Drosophila melanogaster: one gene and its partners. The protein of the gene in region 3 purifies or fractionates together with the protein of the main gene of each other region. This does not show direct contact. Each region holds a gene or a part of one and is shown on either strand. Other genes may lie near its edges.

What was found. Proteins that work in one complex are often made in the same cells at the same time.
Region 1: the proteins of Klp98A (region 3) and Rab3 purify together in Drosophila melanogaster (affinity purification with western blotting, with the first as the bait; one study listed by BioGRID). This does not show direct contact.
Region 2: the proteins of Klp98A (region 3) and Rab14 purify together in Drosophila melanogaster (affinity purification with western blotting, with the first as the bait; one study listed by BioGRID). This does not show direct contact.

What each region holds. Positions count from the first base shown.
Region 1 is NT_033778.4:10,725,838-10,731,305, forward strand, and holds the start of Rab3 (Rab3), read right to left. Parts: upstream 3,367-5,468; 5' UTR 2,768-3,366; intron 1,436-2,767; exon of another isoform or gene 1,223-1,435; coding exon of another isoform or gene 1-1,222. Other genes in the region: CAH13 (carbonic anhydrase 13), read left to right, coding at 1-1,222; Daao1 (D-amino acid oxidase 1), read right to left, coding at 3,802-4,351, 4,421-4,566, 4,648-4,771, 4,837-5,024. UniProt on the Drosophila melanogaster protein: Involved in exocytosis by regulating a late step in synaptic vesicle fusion. Could play a role in neurotransmitter release by regulating membrane flow in the nerve terminal.
Region 2 is NT_033779.5:14,354,724-14,359,630, forward strand, and holds Rab14 (Rab14), read left to right. Parts: upstream 1-2,317; 5' UTR 2,318-2,484; coding exon 2,485-2,548; intron 2,549-2,557; exon of another isoform or gene 2,558-2,617; coding exon 2,618-2,731; intron 2,732-2,796; coding exon 2,797-2,977; intron 2,978-3,031; coding exon 3,032-3,214; intron 3,215-3,282; coding exon 3,283-3,460; 3' UTR 3,461-4,041; downstream 4,042-4,907. Other genes in the region: l(2)34Fd (lethal (2) 34Fd), read right to left, coding at 1-150, 209-274; Pgant35A (polypeptide N-acetylgalactosaminyltransferase 35A), read left to right, coding at 4,657-4,907.
Region 3 is NT_033777.3:27,555,963-27,561,647, reverse strand, and holds the start of Klp98A (Kinesin-like protein at 98A), read left to right. Parts: upstream 1-2,502; 5' UTR 2,503-3,275; coding exon 3,276-3,322; intron 3,323-5,685. Other genes in the region: CG5646 (uncharacterized protein), read left to right, coding at 428-473, 773-885, 1,134-1,374, 1,434-1,548, 1,611-2,007. UniProt on the Drosophila melanogaster protein: Plus end-directed motor protein involved in asymmetric cell division of sensory organ precursor (SOP) cells by playing a role in the asymmetric localization of Sara-expressing endosomes to the pIIa daughter cell but not to the pIIb cell.

The DNA.
Region 1 (5,468 bases), on a different chromosome or scaffold from region 3:
AATTCAACGCATGGCCATAAGAGAGCTGCTGAGCTGGAACCACTATGATGATCTGCCCGCCAGCATCACTCTGGAGAATACGGGTCAGACACTTATCCTCCGTGCCCAGTTCCACGGTAATGCACCTACTATCAGTGGAGCTGATCTCCTGGCCAGCTATACGTTTCTGGAACTGCGCTTCCACTGGGGCTGGTGCAACAGCGAGGGATCCGAGCATACGATCAACCACCGAAAGTTCCCACTTGAGATGCAGGTGATGCACAAAACGGGATCGGGTATTCCCCGTACTTGCACCAGCAGCTATGATCTCCTGATGATCGGATACGTCTTTGAGCTATCCGCGCACAATCCGTTCCTGGATCCCCTGGTGCAGAATTTGCGATTGGTTCAGAAGCCTGGAAAGCGTGTCCAGATTTCTCCATTTCCCATATCCTACTTGATGTATCAATTTCGATCTGGATTCTATTCCTACGGCGGTTCGCTGACCCATCCGCCCTGTTACCAGGGCACCGAATGGTTCATCTTTCCCGAATCCCTAGCCATTAGCGACTTTCAGCTGCGTCACTTTCGTTTGCTCCTAGGTCCGGATGGGATCTCGCCCATAGCCCGTAACAGCCGACCAGTCCAGCACATGGGCAATCGAGTTGTAAGCCTAAACTGCTTCTGCCCATACGATGCCGCCCAGTTGTCCAGAATGCATGTGGAGCTATGCCAGGCTCAAGCTCAGGAGGAGCACGAAGAGGAACGTATCGAGCAGGAGCAGCAATTGGAACTAGAGCGCGAACTGGAGCGGCAAAGGGAAAGCGACTTGAAAGCTCAGCAGGAGCAAGCAAGCGAGGCGGCCATCGCTGCTTCCGAGGATGAAGGTCAGCTAATTGAGACCATAGATACCACGACCATAATAACTAGTAGCAGCAACACTAGCATATGCATGACTACGCTGATGCGGAAGGATTCGCCTAGGCAACTGGAACAGCCATCTCAGATGCCTATGATGGCTCCCAATCAGGGTAACTTTTGCAATCCTGGCATTGTGATATTCAGCGGTGTCAATGAATCCAAGTCCAAGTGCGGCATCCATCAGGATACACCGGAGGAGCTAATGATCCATAACAGAGGAACGGGAAGAAACATGGGTGTACAGAATGGCTGCAAGGCCGATGCCTTTTGCGGCGTGGGCGATGGCGTCAACATCGGAATTCGCATGGAGCTGGTCGAGTAGCTAATGTGCTATTATCAACCTTTATGTCATCCATAGACACTCCATTTGTGGTCCATGCTGCACGAAGAACCGGTGGGGCTAGATGGTGCACATGAAACACCGGTCAAGGCCAACTGGTGGCCAACCGGAGTTCTCTCTGTGCCCGGAAGTGATTGAATCGCGTGCGTGTGGATTAAACAAGTTGCGTTTATATTTTCTAAAGCATAACCCCCCAATTCCCTTGACTTTTAATCCTTGGAGTAGGCGGGAGGGGTTGGCTTTAGCGGCCTGACTTGGGAAAGGACCCACTTGATTATCCCTGTCACGTCACTGGGAAAACTCAAAGCGAATTTCAGAGCTGAACGGCGGGTTGGTGGGCTGGTGGGCTGGTGCGGCCTTGAAAACTTTCAGCCTTGGCTTGGGCAAGTGACAACAGTCTCGGCTTACAGTTTGCCATTCGGGATGGTTGGCTGCCTGTTTTCCATATGCAATGAAGGCGGCGACATTGTGTCGATAATTTGTGTATATAGCCTGGTTCTCCTGGTTCCGTTTCCGCTCATCCTTATTTCCCCCGTCCAGAATCAGAAGTTGCGCAGCGGCAAAACGCTGTCAGATTGCTGATGAACGACTTGGTGTAGAAGGACCGAGTGCGCGCGTCATCGTCAAGGATTTTGCTGGCAAAAGGACAGGCTTCGCTCCTGTCAAGCCTCTTCAGGCCCAGAAATATCCTGGAGGGGCCCGAACCCAAACCCAAACCCAAACCCAAACGCAGACACCAAAGAGGGGCCGCAATAAGAGGTCTTCAACGGCAGACGGCCCTTATCACAGGCGCTGTGTGGAAATGTTTTTATCTGCTCGACTGCGTGTAATTATCGATTTTTCTGTTGTTTTCCCCCTGCGTGGGGGTGGCTGCCAGACCCTGCCCCCATTACCCACCCCCTTAACTGCTCTTTCATGTTTCAAATTTCCAATGATTTGGCAGCTGTTCAGCGGTCGGCAGCTGCGGGCTTGTTTAATTATTGATAAGAAACCCAATATTGGCCAAAACGAGAACTCAATCCTGCCTTAACGGTTCCAATTGGAAAAGTTTCAATTTAAGGTTTGTTGTCAAACGTAAATATTAGGCATGTGCATAAATACCGAGTTATCAATCAATGGGAATAAACAATTAACTCTTTCCTGGAAGTTGTAAAACTACATATGTATTATTTGGCCACATTCATATGTATGTATAGCCCATATCTATTGTCAATAAGATATGATACACTAAGCTGAAATCCATCAGAAGTTTTTTTGGAACTACTATAAAAGTAACATTGAGTTATTAAATACCTTTTAAATACTTTTAAAAAGTTGATGTGTAATCTTTATAATGTCAAAATCAATGAAGTTTAATGTAAAAATAATAAATTCCAACCAACGGCCTCATTATTTGACAATATGGAACTGATACTGCAAAGTTTTTGATGCGAAAACTCAGGTATTTTGGTTTTAGCTGGAACTAGTACCCCCATTCACCCATTTTGGTCCATCATGGCGGATACTTAATGTGTCAGATAAACTTACTCTTTCTTGAGGTTATTGCGGTTACAGTAGTATCTGCTGCTAATATCTCAGTTGCTGTTTATGATGGTGCTGCTGCAGATCCTGCTGTCACAAGAATATCCTGCTGTTTTCGATGTGTGGGTGAGAGGTACGCCGTGTTGTTGCTCGCACATACACACAAATCGATAATGGCAGCTCCTTTCGCTGAAGGGATAAGGAAAAGGACTCGACTCAGCCTTGGCACTGGACTGACATACGCCGCGATTTCACGTCGATTGATTCGTCGAGTTGTTTACGGTTACCCAATCAACTATTCACACGCCCGCGGACCCACTCGTCTGGCCAGAATTGAACTGACTCCGGCTGCAGTGGCTCAATTATTCAGCAAATGCAACGCACCAACTGTTCTACCTTTTTGCCTCGACACGTCGACACCAAAGGACACACAATTTTCAATTTTTTCTTCGCTCTCAGGCGGCGAATTGACTGGTGCGGCGAAAACGGGCCAGTTTTGTATACGTTTTCATAATTCAACTGTTTCAACCTGGCTGACTGGCTGGCTAACTGACTGACTGGATGACTGGCTGCTGCCCACACAATTTCCCTGCTGCTTTTCCTGCTGCTGAAAATCGATGGGTTTCCGTGCCTGGGGTGTCTGTGTGTGGGCGTAGCTTTCGCGGCGATTTCGGGCGAGCTTTCCATTCATGCGCCGGTCATGCGCACTTCGCACTTCCGCAGCCTTGTGGAGCACTGGCCCAGGGGTTCATTTGAATTTATTCGTGGGCGCGAATTTATTCGTTCACTTTGTGAACCCATGTTCTTATCCTGAAACAATATAGACCAAGGAACTCATAAAAACAGTAAATAAAATTTATAAGAATTGTTTCTTTAAATATTCTAAATATTCCTTCTTGAAACCTTTGGAACTGGCGCATATCGCAACCTTGAGAACTGCAATTAGTTTATTGCACAATAAAAAATCCAAATCAAATCTGGGTTCAAAGATTCTGAGTATAAAGAGTTTAATGACCAACAATTAACAACGATTTTACCACCTACAGTTTACTGTTTCCCGCTAGTAGATCGCGTACCAATCGAACTGCGTACATAGCCGTTCCAGGAGCCGTGGTCACACCGTAGCCGCCGTGGCCGTAGTTGTGGACTACCTTCAGCCGCCTGCCTTCCGGATTCGTGATCAGTTCTGGCTCCACCCGAACGACGGAGCGGTGTGGCCGCAGACCAACACATTCCCGCACGATCTCCGCTTTCCGGAGACTGGGCAGCAAATCGTAGCAACGCTCTCGAATGGCCATGCTATCGTATTTGCACCACTCGGTGTTGTAGCTGTCGAATTGGCGACATCCTCCCAGGGTCACAGTCTCAAATCCGGGAAGAACGTAGGTGTCGTAATCGCCGTAGAAAGCCGTCTTTACCCAGGGAGCACGCACTTTGAGCACTTGACCCCGAATGGGAACCAAGTGCTGGTCCCCACACAACTCCTTGGCTCCCATTCCGGTGCAGTTAAGGAGCAAGTCAATGTTCTGCGGCACTTCGAAAAAGCTGTTCACATGCTGACGGACAACCTCTCCTCCGTTCTCCAGGAATCTACAATATGTTAATATTTACGATTATTTTCAAATTGTTTCTCTTTCATATCATAAAACAGCTACTCACTTTTTAGTGGCATAGGGCAAGAAGAGGCGGCTTTCCGTTAGGCATGTGGTGAAGAAGGATCCGTACTTCCAGCCGCCGTTGCATAGCCTCAGTTCCTCCTCGGTGGCTCTTCGGTAGACGGGCAATAGTTTCTCAATAAAGTGGTTCTAAGGCAGCCAACAACAAAGTTAATCGAATTAAGCCGATGAAGATAAGAATCACTGATTGTCGACTGCCCGGCAACGTACCCGTACGATGGAGGGGGAGGTGCGGGAGTAAATATAGCCGGATAATTGGCACACGCCCGCCAGAGGAGCCTCCTTGGAGCGACGCAGCTCATCCCAGTAGTTGAAGGCATCGGTCATCCATTGTCTACGATGAAAAGAAAAGTCGTTAGATGCACAACAGGTGTGTTTGAATCCCAAACAGATTCTCACTGCGTAATTTTCTGGGTGGGGCCCATAAAGCTGGTTCCAGGTCGGAAAATTCCAGCCGCCACATAGCTGACGGTGTCCTCGTTAAACCGATCCGCAATCACGGAAACCCTTGCTGTGGGAAACTCCTTCTGGAGTTCTAAGGCGGTCGTAAGACCAATGATACCGCTTCCCAAGACTCCGAAATGCATTCTGGATCCGCTTTGAGTTGATACCCAATCCCAATGGAAGGCGATTTGGTACTGAGCATGCTTTTAAAGGTGCTTGCGAAGCTGGCTGCGTCTTATCAGCTCTTATCAAATCCGCTCTCCATCGCGCCTCCAAAGATGAGATAAACTTTACTGCTCTCTTTTAAAATTGCAATAAACACTTTTTCCGTTGTTTTTATTATGGTTGCAAACAGTGCTGCACGCTTACAGTAGACTTTAATTAAGTATAACGAAATATTAATGTAACAGTGAGTATTCAATACGAGATACAGCTTTTAAAATAGATATAGAATTAAATGTAGCCAAATTTAAATAAAAAAAGCATCTTTGCTTAAAAAACTGGCAAAATACATATATTTCATAGCTTAAAAATAAGCTAATTGTTTGTCCTATTCTTTCTTACGGGTATCTACTGTACATCGAAAA
Region 2 (4,907 bases), on a different chromosome or scaffold from region 3:
AGTGCCGGTGGCCAGGATGTACTGTTGGTCGGGACTCATGCGGATGCTGGTGCAGACGCCGGGCATATCGAAGTCCTGGATGAGCTCGATCTGTCTCCGGGAGTCCACTTTTTTCATGAGCTGTGACCGCTTTCGCCGATCCGTCAGCCACTGTGAAGGAGATACTCATGAGTTAACTGCTTGGCAACGGGTTTATCTTGCTACTCACATCTGGCACCGACTTGCCGGCGCTCAGGTTGTAGATCTTCACATCGTTAACTTCGTTTACGAACATCTTGAGGGACGATTTTTGCTCAAAATTAAAACATAAACAAACGAAGTCCGCAACACGTGCGCCCTCTATCGATAGACACGATTGTCGATAGCATCTGGCTGCGATAAGCACCTATCGCGGCAGTGTGACCCTTGGCTTGCCAATTGCTCAGTGTGACCGCAGGAAACCAAGCAAAACAAGAGAACGCAAAAGCAGTGAAAAAAGACTACTGATTTGCATCGACCTACCAATTGAAAATAATCGCAATAATTGCCTCTCGGTGCAGCCCCGCAACCCCGCGAAGCCAGTGTGCGTGCTAGCACGAAAGTGAACTGCATTTTGCATCGCCAAATTGCCCAAAAATTGCAATCGAATTCCGCACAGCCAAACAACAATACGCACACATACACACAGTACCCCCCGCTCTGCGTAACCGCCCTACGTTACACATTCCGTTCGCTCCCTAAGGTGGACTAAAACTAAAGTGATCTAAAACGGTGAGTAATATTCGTTGTTTTTCCTTAAGCCAATTAAACACTGATTAAATTATGCGAAATGGAAAACCGTCTGCGAAGGGGTGACGCAGTGCAGCTGTGGGTGCTCCGCAACTTTCCCTTGTGCTCTCGCTCTCTCTTGTTTTTGTCGTTAGGCAGCAGCACTCCATTGTTGTTGTATACACCCCCTGATTGCTTTGATACCCTGCAATGGGGAGTTACTGTTTTGTGACCAAGTTAAGAAAATAAATATGATTTACAAAAATCGATTAATTCTGGGGATGTTTCAGGTTTTTATGGTGTATAATTTATTTTTTGAATTTTTAGGGGATGGTGGGGCAAAAACGGCCGCCACTCTACTTAAAAATCGGTAGGTGAGGAGTTTGTTTAGTATACGCTATAAATAAATACTCTAAATTAGTTTTTATAAGATGGATTATTATATGAGTGTATGAGTTATCATAGAAATATTTACCTGTGCTTATATATTAATTTATTATATGAATTATGCAAACAAGGTTTTTTCAAAATGTAGGCGAGCATGAATAAAAAATTATAATAAATCAGAAGTTTTCTTAGTAGTTGTTATCAGTTATTAATATATTTCTTTTTCATTTTGTTGTGTCTTATTGCGTTGTTGTCTTCAATGCGGGCTTATTTTATTAGTTTGAATGGATGTGCGCTTATTTGTAGATACTCAAATATCAAATCGTATTCAGTTATATCTTAGAAATGGAATATAAAGCGCACATTTATAAAAGTATATTTATATTTAAGATTTTTTGCCAAAGGGTATACATACTTCGTCTGTGTATAAATATATATTTCTCATACTCCTTTCGTTATTTTCCCTGTTATGGGTGCGCCGCTGTGTTCCTTTTATGAGGGGCAATGATGATCCACTTCCATTCAACACATTTTGCAAATAAGTACATATGTACTTCGCCTCCATTGATTGCTCCACTGATGTTTGGCCTTTGGCGCTTGACTGATAAGACTCGAGACCGAGACCTACTACTTAGTTAGTCTAAACTGCCCGTCATAGAGCCTATTAAACTGATATGCACTTGTCACTTTGACAAGCAATGATAAGCGATTATAACTGTATTTGATGATTTAAGTATGAGCAATTAAGAATCCATAATTGATACTCATCTTTTCACACTATATGCTGCTAAGTCACATTCTTTTGTATGAAATTCATTCATATGAAGTAAGGCAGGATGATTACCCTAAATACAAACTAACTTGATGAATAACTTCGCGCGTACTGCTCTTAATAATTGAATTCCCACGATTGCTTGCTCGGCGACCTTGATCCAAATCGCTTTCAGCTTGGGCGAAGGGTTCAATTCACTCTCTTCAGCGCCCCTTAACTGCGGACAAATCAAAGGCTTTCGAACGACACGGATACTGCGAATGGACAAAGTCAAGTGGCATGAAGTGGATATACCCGCCGCTCTTGAAGCTTGCCTCTTTCTTATTTTTTTTTTTTTTTGGCTTCAGTTGGCAGGCAAACAAACCCGGTCGGCTGTTCAAACACAAGCAGGCCTTAAAAAGAAATATCGGGGCCAGTTCGAGAAAGGGGAACAAAATGTGGTGTCGACGCAGAACAAATTAATGCAGCGCCTCGGTTTGTTGATAAGCAGCGACTACGGTTGGACATTCAAATGAGGAGCTGATAGTAGTAGTTAACACTGTTTGATTGGGTCAGAGTTCATTTCTGCCGGTGTCAAGATGAGCAAAGTGCGCAGCGTGGTGAACAAACTGCACGAACGCATAGACTACTTTATTGAAAAATGTGTGAAATATTCTATATACTCAATGACTCTGCAATGTAATAATAATAATAATTTCGCTTGCTTTTTAGGTCCCAACATGACTGCAGCGCCATACAACTACAACTATATCTTTAAATACATCATCATTGGTGACATGGGCGTGGGCAAGTCCTGCCTGCTCCACCAGTTCACCGAGAAGAAATGTGAGTAGACTGTGCTGAGTAATAATGTATGTAATAAGAACTAATCTCTACTTGCCGTCCTGCAGTCATGGCCAATTGTCCTCACACCATTGGCGTGGAGTTCGGCACACGCATCATTGAGGTGGACGACAAAAAGATCAAGCTACAGATCTGGGACACAGCGGGTCAGGAGCGATTCAGGGCAGTGACACGCTCCTATTACCGTGGAGCAGCTGGTGCGCTGATGGTCTACGATATTACCAGGCGGTAAGCGAAGCAAGCTACTATTTGAGAAATTGCTTTACAACTTGACCATTCCAGCTCCACGTACAATCACCTGAGCAGCTGGCTTACCGACACTCGCAATCTCACCAATCCCAGCACTGTGATCTTTCTCATTGGCAACAAATCGGATCTGGAGAGCACTCGGGAGGTTACCTACGAGGAGGCCAAGGAGTTTGCCGACGAGAACGGCCTAATGTTTCTCGAAGCGAGCGCTATGACGTGAGTTTCAACTGGAAGCATAGTGTTTGAGCATATACTGATTATCTTTTTTTTTATCGCCCAAACAGTGGCCAGAATGTGGAGGAGGCTTTTCTGGAGACCGCACGCAAGATTTACCAGAACATCCAGGAGGGTCGGCTCGATCTGAACGCCTCCGAGTCCGGAGTTCAGCACAGGCCATCGCAGCCGTCGCGAACTTCGCTGAGTAGCGAGGCTACGGGCGCCAAGGATCAGTGCTCGTGCTAAATGAATGATGGAACCTAACTTTACGCAAAACCTAGTTATACAAATCAACTTTTATTTTTAGCCGACTCGTAATCTACCGATGCCCAAGCAAAAACCAATGTATGTAGTTAAATAATTCGATTAAGCATCAATGTGTGAGCCAACAACAGCGACAGCAACCACAAAAAAAAAAAAAAACAGAAAAAGAAAATATAAAGTCCTTTCGCTTAATAAGACGCAAGCATTGCAACATTTATTGTATCGGTTAAGCATAAATACTAGAAAATTAAACATGTTTGTTGGCGCAAACTAAAGTTTTGACCATGAAATTTCGAAAAGTTTATCGCACTAACACCATCCTTCGGTCTCAATTTATAGATGAATTCGTTTGAGATATAGATCATGTTTTTGTTGGCTGATGAATCCCTGTATATAATATATATATGTATGAATTTTTGTATCTCCCTAATTTTTTGTTGAGTATTTGTTGTTGTCGCGTGCAAGAATTGGAGGAAACGATCAATGTTATATGAATATTTACGATGTATTAATGGCATAATGCAATAGGAAATAAATAAAATGGTATTTATAAAACCCCTACCAATAGAAATGAATTTCTCTTTCAAATAATTTAAATTTTAATTTGCATATTTAACCATTCGTTTATATTTAATTCTACACCAAATCGCTGGATAATTTTATAATTTACCGGATTTCCATTTAATAGATTTAAATTTTATAAATATTTGGGTACTTACGATTTACTTAAATATTTTGTAAAAAGCTTTTTTAATCCATTTAGTGGAATACCCTCAACTTTGACTTGCGCATAACTTCATTCTTGTTTTATTTAGTGATGCTAACGTTGGGTTGGAAATCAGCTGATTATGACTATGAACAATAAAGTTTGTAAGTCAAACAACGATTTTTCGTATACTGTTCTTTTGTTTGTTGCTGGTTGTCTAATTAATCATTTTAACTGGTTATCAGTCCAATTTTTGTTTTCTACACTACACTATTCTACACTATTTTCGATTTCCTTGAAATTTAGCGGGAAAAACTCTGAGCTAGCATCTTCGGTGGCATCGCTGTGTGCGCGCTTTTGTGCGAATGCCATGGTATGCAAATTAAATTTAATTTATTCCGATCATCATGAAAGTGACAAAGTAGCTGCTTAAGTAGCCAGGGAAGCGCACAACGTAATCTAATCTCGATCCATGATGCAAATCAAGCGCCTCCTGTGCAAATCCTGCGGCCTGGGCACCCTTCTGGTGGCGGTCGTCTGGCTGCTGGCGCTGCTTTTCTACTCGCACAGCCTGCGCAGCTCCATCCGCTCGGCAGGATGGAGGATCGACGAAGGGAACGCAACGCCACGGGCCGAGCTGAGCTACCAGGCCAGGGTCACCGTCGGATGCACTCCAAATGCCAGCATTACCACTGGCGAATCGCCGGCGGCACCCAAGCCGCC
Region 3 (5,685 bases):
TAGGATTCAAAATAGTATTTTTAAAATTAAAGGATTTATATTCCTTTGAACTTGAAGTGAAAAGCTAAGAAACTTTCTACACTTCTTTTTCCTATGCGTAGGAAAAATTCTAGAAAGTTTGGTTTGAAAATTTTAAGTTTAGAACTGAATAGTTTTGAGCTGTATACCCACAAGATATCATTATGCTTAGCAGAGTTACTTTTTCGTTAGAAAGTATCTTTTTTTGAAAAGTGAGCATTCGGTTTGCCTATTTTTTAGCAATCAGCTTCTGTTCGCTGGGAAAGCTGGCGAAATCGCAGAGCTTTGCTGCCGAGCCACAAAAGCTGTGCACTGCAGTTGGTTCGCTGCCGTCGTGAGGTGCAGTTGGAAAATCGCGAGAAAAATCAATTTTCCGAAAACTCCAAGCGTTCGCTGAAAATCCGCATCCATGAAGTGGGAGAACTACTGCGACTTTGTGGCCGGATGCTTTGGTGGTGAGTGACGGAGCGGCAGAGCTCCAGCTGGTATTCATCCCAATTTGGTCAGAACTCTGGGCCATGCATGACGCAATGCAGCAGCCGTGTGGCGATAGGCCACTTGTTGAGGGGAACTGCCTCAGTCCCGGCGGAAAACGGGCGCCATGGTCAAGTTCACGTGCGGCGCCCCTGATCCATCGGATTCTTGGCAAGCGGCTGTCGGCGGCGGCGGCCGTTCAACATGTGTTGTTTAACTTTGTGGCCACAATTTTAATTAATTTATGCTGCATTCTTGATTTTTATACTCTGATATTCAGGTGCCTGCGGGGTGCTGGTGGCCCACCCACTCGACACGATCAAAGTTTGGCAACAGGCCTCAAATTCATCCGTTGTGACAGCCATTCAACAGATCTACAGCAGAAATAATGGGGTAAGTTTGGAAAGAAGGATTGCGTCTAGTTGGAAACTTTTTTTCAAGGATACAAATTTTATGTGAAATATTTGGATAACGATGTACATGTCGATCTTCCAATCTCCTTTTTTATTCATAACTTTTCAAATATTTAAACCAGCCAAAATGGCTTTGTCCTATTCTTAATCCCGACTCCGACTGGACGCAATCCCTTAGAGCGCCTAGGTGGGTCGTGATGGGTTTAATCGATCAGCATCGCCTCAAAGGTCAACGGCTTCTACAGGGGCATGTTCTTCCCGTTCATCTCGACGGGAGCGATCAACTCGCTGCTTTTCGGCATCTATGGAAACCATCTGCGGCAGCTGAGAAAGGTGTGCCACAGTGACTACCAGCGGGAGCAGCTGGAGTACCACAACATGTTCCTGGCGGGCTCTGTGGCGGGATTCGTGCAGTCCTTCATCGCCTGTCCCATGGAGCTGATCAAGGTTCGCCTGCAGACAGCCACTTGTGGGTTCTACTTGATTTTTTAATCCCAAAATGGAGGATTAATTTGTGAAATTCCGTAGATTACAGTGACTATCTGTATGGCCAGAGAAGGACCGCCTTTGGCACGTTCAAAAGGATACTCAAGACTGATGGCATCTCGGGGCTCTATCGCGGCCTTTTGCCCATGATGTGCCGGTAAGTTAGTCCAGGTGGTAGTCCAAAAATACATGAATCTTTCAATGGTCGTTTGGTTACAGCGACGTCCTGCCCTATGGAATCTATATGCTGGCCTATCGCCAGGGCGTTGACTACATGGACAGGCGGGACTTTGTGCGCCGGCGACGCAGTCAGTCGGACGGATCCAGTGTGAACCTGCTGGTGACCACGCTGGCCGGCGCCTGGGCGGGAGTCATCTCGTGGGTGTGTGTCATTCCGTTCGACGTGGTCAAGACGCTGATGCAGGCGGATGAGAATCACAAGTACCGGGGCATCTTCCATTGCGTGCGGGTGCAGTACAGAGCCTACGGCTGGAGGAGCATCTTCCGCGGCAGCTGGATGCTGGTGGCGCGGGCGGTTCCCTTCAATGCCGCCACTTTCCTGGGCTACGAGTATGCGCTGGAGTGGTGTCAGCGGTGGAACGGCACCTACGTATGACCCAGGCAGTCTGGTGGAGATTAGGAGCCTTAGTTTGTATGCTGTGTACATTGTTGTCAACTGAGAATGAGTGTGATCGAAAAATGCAAACCTATTCTATAATTTACTTCAATGCTGTTTAACAGCACTAACAAATAGCTTTAATTGCCTCACTTTGTAAACGTTTTATCGTATCAACACGGGCTTAATATTTTCGAAATGCACCTCAATTTTGTAAGCTTTAAAATTAAAATGATGACAAATTGCGTCCATGAACAAGGTTATATTGCTGAGTATTTGAGATCTGCCTCTAAAGTTAGATCTAATTTTTTTAAAAATCTTTGGTTTGAACAATAGGAACAAGTTTTTGAATTTAGAAAACATTCAAATCGGTTTGAGTATGCGCTATCCGTGTTATCAACCATTTCTATGAATGTTGAAAACATCGAATTGGTGTGACCGCACTGCCAGAAGGCGAGTGTGTAACTCCGCAGTTTATTAGCACTGTTCTGCGAACGGTCACACCGAGTCGAACGATGAACAACAACACAACATCGCGTCGCGTTCGTTAAAAAACAGAGATAAACGCAAATCGAAGTAACAAAGTGTACATACAGCGTGCTATTTTTCTTATTTTCATCGTGCTGCACTTAATGACCCATGTCCAGTGAATATATGGGCAGACACATATGGTCAGCGCAAAAACGCAGCGAGTTGCAATGAGCAGCCGCCGAAAAAAATGGCAGGAAAAATTGTGCAAGTGAATTAATGTCGAATTGCGCACAATTTAATCTTAATTTTATTAGTGGTAGTATGTGCAGTTGTTTGTGGAGCCGCGAAAAGTTCGCAAAGTTCGCTGATTTTGCGAACGGGAGGCTCGCAATCGAAATAACGGTGTACAAGAAGACGAAGAGAAAAACAAACTGAAAAGCAGAGCAAACGGAAAGCAGAAAGACCAAAAGTCGGACAAAAACGCAACAGAGTGAATTGTGTTTCCACTGCTGCCCCCCACCCCCATTTCTTTTACCACCCCTCCCCCCATTGACAATCCATCCCAAAAAAATCAAATTACGTGGCAAGTGGTCAGGCGAGAACAACAACAACAACAACAAGAACAAAACCTGCTGCTGCAAGTTTTTTCCTATTTTTTTTGTTTGGTACCCATCTCTTTGCTTTTGGTTTACTGTACGTGCTGAAAACGCCCCCCAAATCCGCACCACCCACCACCCAAATAAACAAATAAAGGAGTACAAGAATCCCGCGTAGCCACCCCCATCGCCACCATCGAAATGTCGTCACTCAAGGTCGCCGTAAGGGTTCGACCCTTCAACTCCCGGTAAGCCCAGATATCCTACGCCTATTTATAGACACAGCCATGGTCAAGGAAATAGCAACACTGCAAATAGAATCTACACAGAAATAGGGTAGTCAAACTTAGCTTAGATCAACAAAAAGCACAGCTAAATATTCAAGATTATGTTTCTATGAATATGAATATTATCTTTAAAAAAAAACTACAATTCCCAATCTTAATCAAAAACTGAAATATTAAGTTGGTTGTGGAATATGTTCTAACAATCTCTTTTATTACTCAAAAAGCAGCTTTAATTTAGATTTTGAAAAATATGACTAAGCAATGGGGTGACGATGACTTTAAACAAAAAAGATATAGATTTGCCTTATTATTATGACCTCACTTATCATTATCATTATAGGAGAATGTTTGTTTGTTGGGCTTTCTATCGCGTATTAACTTTAAAACGCCCCTTGAAAAAAAGTATGGAATTTGGTTGCGCATTTCACTTAAAAAGCACAAAAGTGTCTAGAAAACAAATTTCGTTACAAAAAACCCCTTGAAATACATGTAAAAAGTGTACTAGACTGCCTACTTAAAACCACATTAAACCTTTTTATTTTTACCAGCCTTGTCTATGATCGTTAAGCATTTATGTTGCTGCTTGTTTTTTATTTTTATTTATTTTTTTTGTGTCTTTATCTTGGCTATCTGGCGCAGCGGTCATTGCTTTTGGCACAGTTACTTGCGAATAAAACCGAATCGAGAAAAGCGTTCGAAAGAAAGACGAACGCACCGAGAAGTTGGCAGAAGTGCCTCACAAAGAAAGATATGTACATATGTGTGCTAAGAAAGATACATTCCGTAATGATGTCATTCATCTCTGGCGTTCGATATAAAAATCACATTAACCCAAACAAAACGAGCTTTGTGCGCTGTGAGTTTACGGCTGCCGTGTGTTAATTGTGCATGAAATAAAACAACATTATCAGCGGCAAATGCTGTAATTATAATGGCAAAAAGTGGAGCTAACTCCCTGCCGCGTTGTGACATCATCGTTTTGGCTCAAACTTATGCAAAGCAGCTACTCACTATGACAGGGAGCACTCGATAAGGCAAACGGATACAAGTTGGATTAGTAGTCGATGATCACTTTGAATAATAATCCTAATTAGCAGTGTACATATGTACAAACCTCTTTAAATTTTTTAAGAGAAACCCGTTCTCCTTTTGGCAGCATTCACTGTAAATATTTTTGCATAGTTTCTTTGGCCTCCGGACGGACATTTTTAGCACATATTTCCACGGCTCCTCAGTGGACATGCAAGACTGACTGCTCACAGTAGCCTCCATGCGAAAACAAAAGCAGATATCTACTATAATTACGTATATATGTAAGTGTGCTTTATAGGCACTGCACCCGAAAAAAAGCAAACCAAATAAACATTTTTGATTTTGGCACGAAACTGGCCGAGCAAGTTCCACATCCCATCGCTCATGAGTCACAGCAGCGAAATTTGCTGGTGTCCCGCATAAATGTTTAATTGGGAAATGAATCAGATGCCGCAAAGAATTTCCCGCTGTTTGCCGGAGTTTTCTCGCTTCCCGTAATCTCCAGCTGGATGATGCACTCGCATTGGGCCAAAGATTAACGAATTAAAGCCACTCAAACGCAATGAGTACTGCGTCGACTTGAGTGGAGCGGCGTAATCGTGGCAGCCCATGTTGAAGATGGGGGGAATGACCCAAAATTGTCGCTCGAAATGGGACAAGGCACTACGGCTGCCATGGGATTCCTAGAGCTTTACAGTCGCAGAACAAACACCCTTTTCACTGCAAAGAAGACAGAACATTTGAGTAAAAGTTAAACAGTACAATCATGGGAACAACCCAACTCTCAAAGGTACAGAGAACAATTGGGGAAATAAATGAATACACAAAATTACAATAATCTACGCTAATAACTAATTGTTCCCCCAAATCTCACGATCTTCCCATAGTGCCGAATACAGACTGTAAATGAATGATGTGATCTTCTTCTGTCCATCTTGGCCTTAAAGTTATGATAGACGTCTATTTGGATCTATGAAGATGCTAAATCCACGTTTTTCCACTTTTTCGATGCCTGCTATCGTGCATCTTTTGTTTGCTTAGAGGCGCCTTTGCATGTGTTACTTTTTCAGCTGAAGTCTATTTCGATGTGTGGGTGCCCCTATGAACTCCAGTCAACCGGTTCGGTTCCATCTTTAAACGAATGTTCTATCTATGCCCAGACGCGAGTTTTTCATCTCTCTCTCTCTTTTTTTTATTTGCGCCGCTTTTCCTTTTGATGTTGCAATCAAGTCGTCGGTTGTTTCTTCTTCATTTCTGTATTCGCTACAAACCGGATTTTCTTTTATAATTTG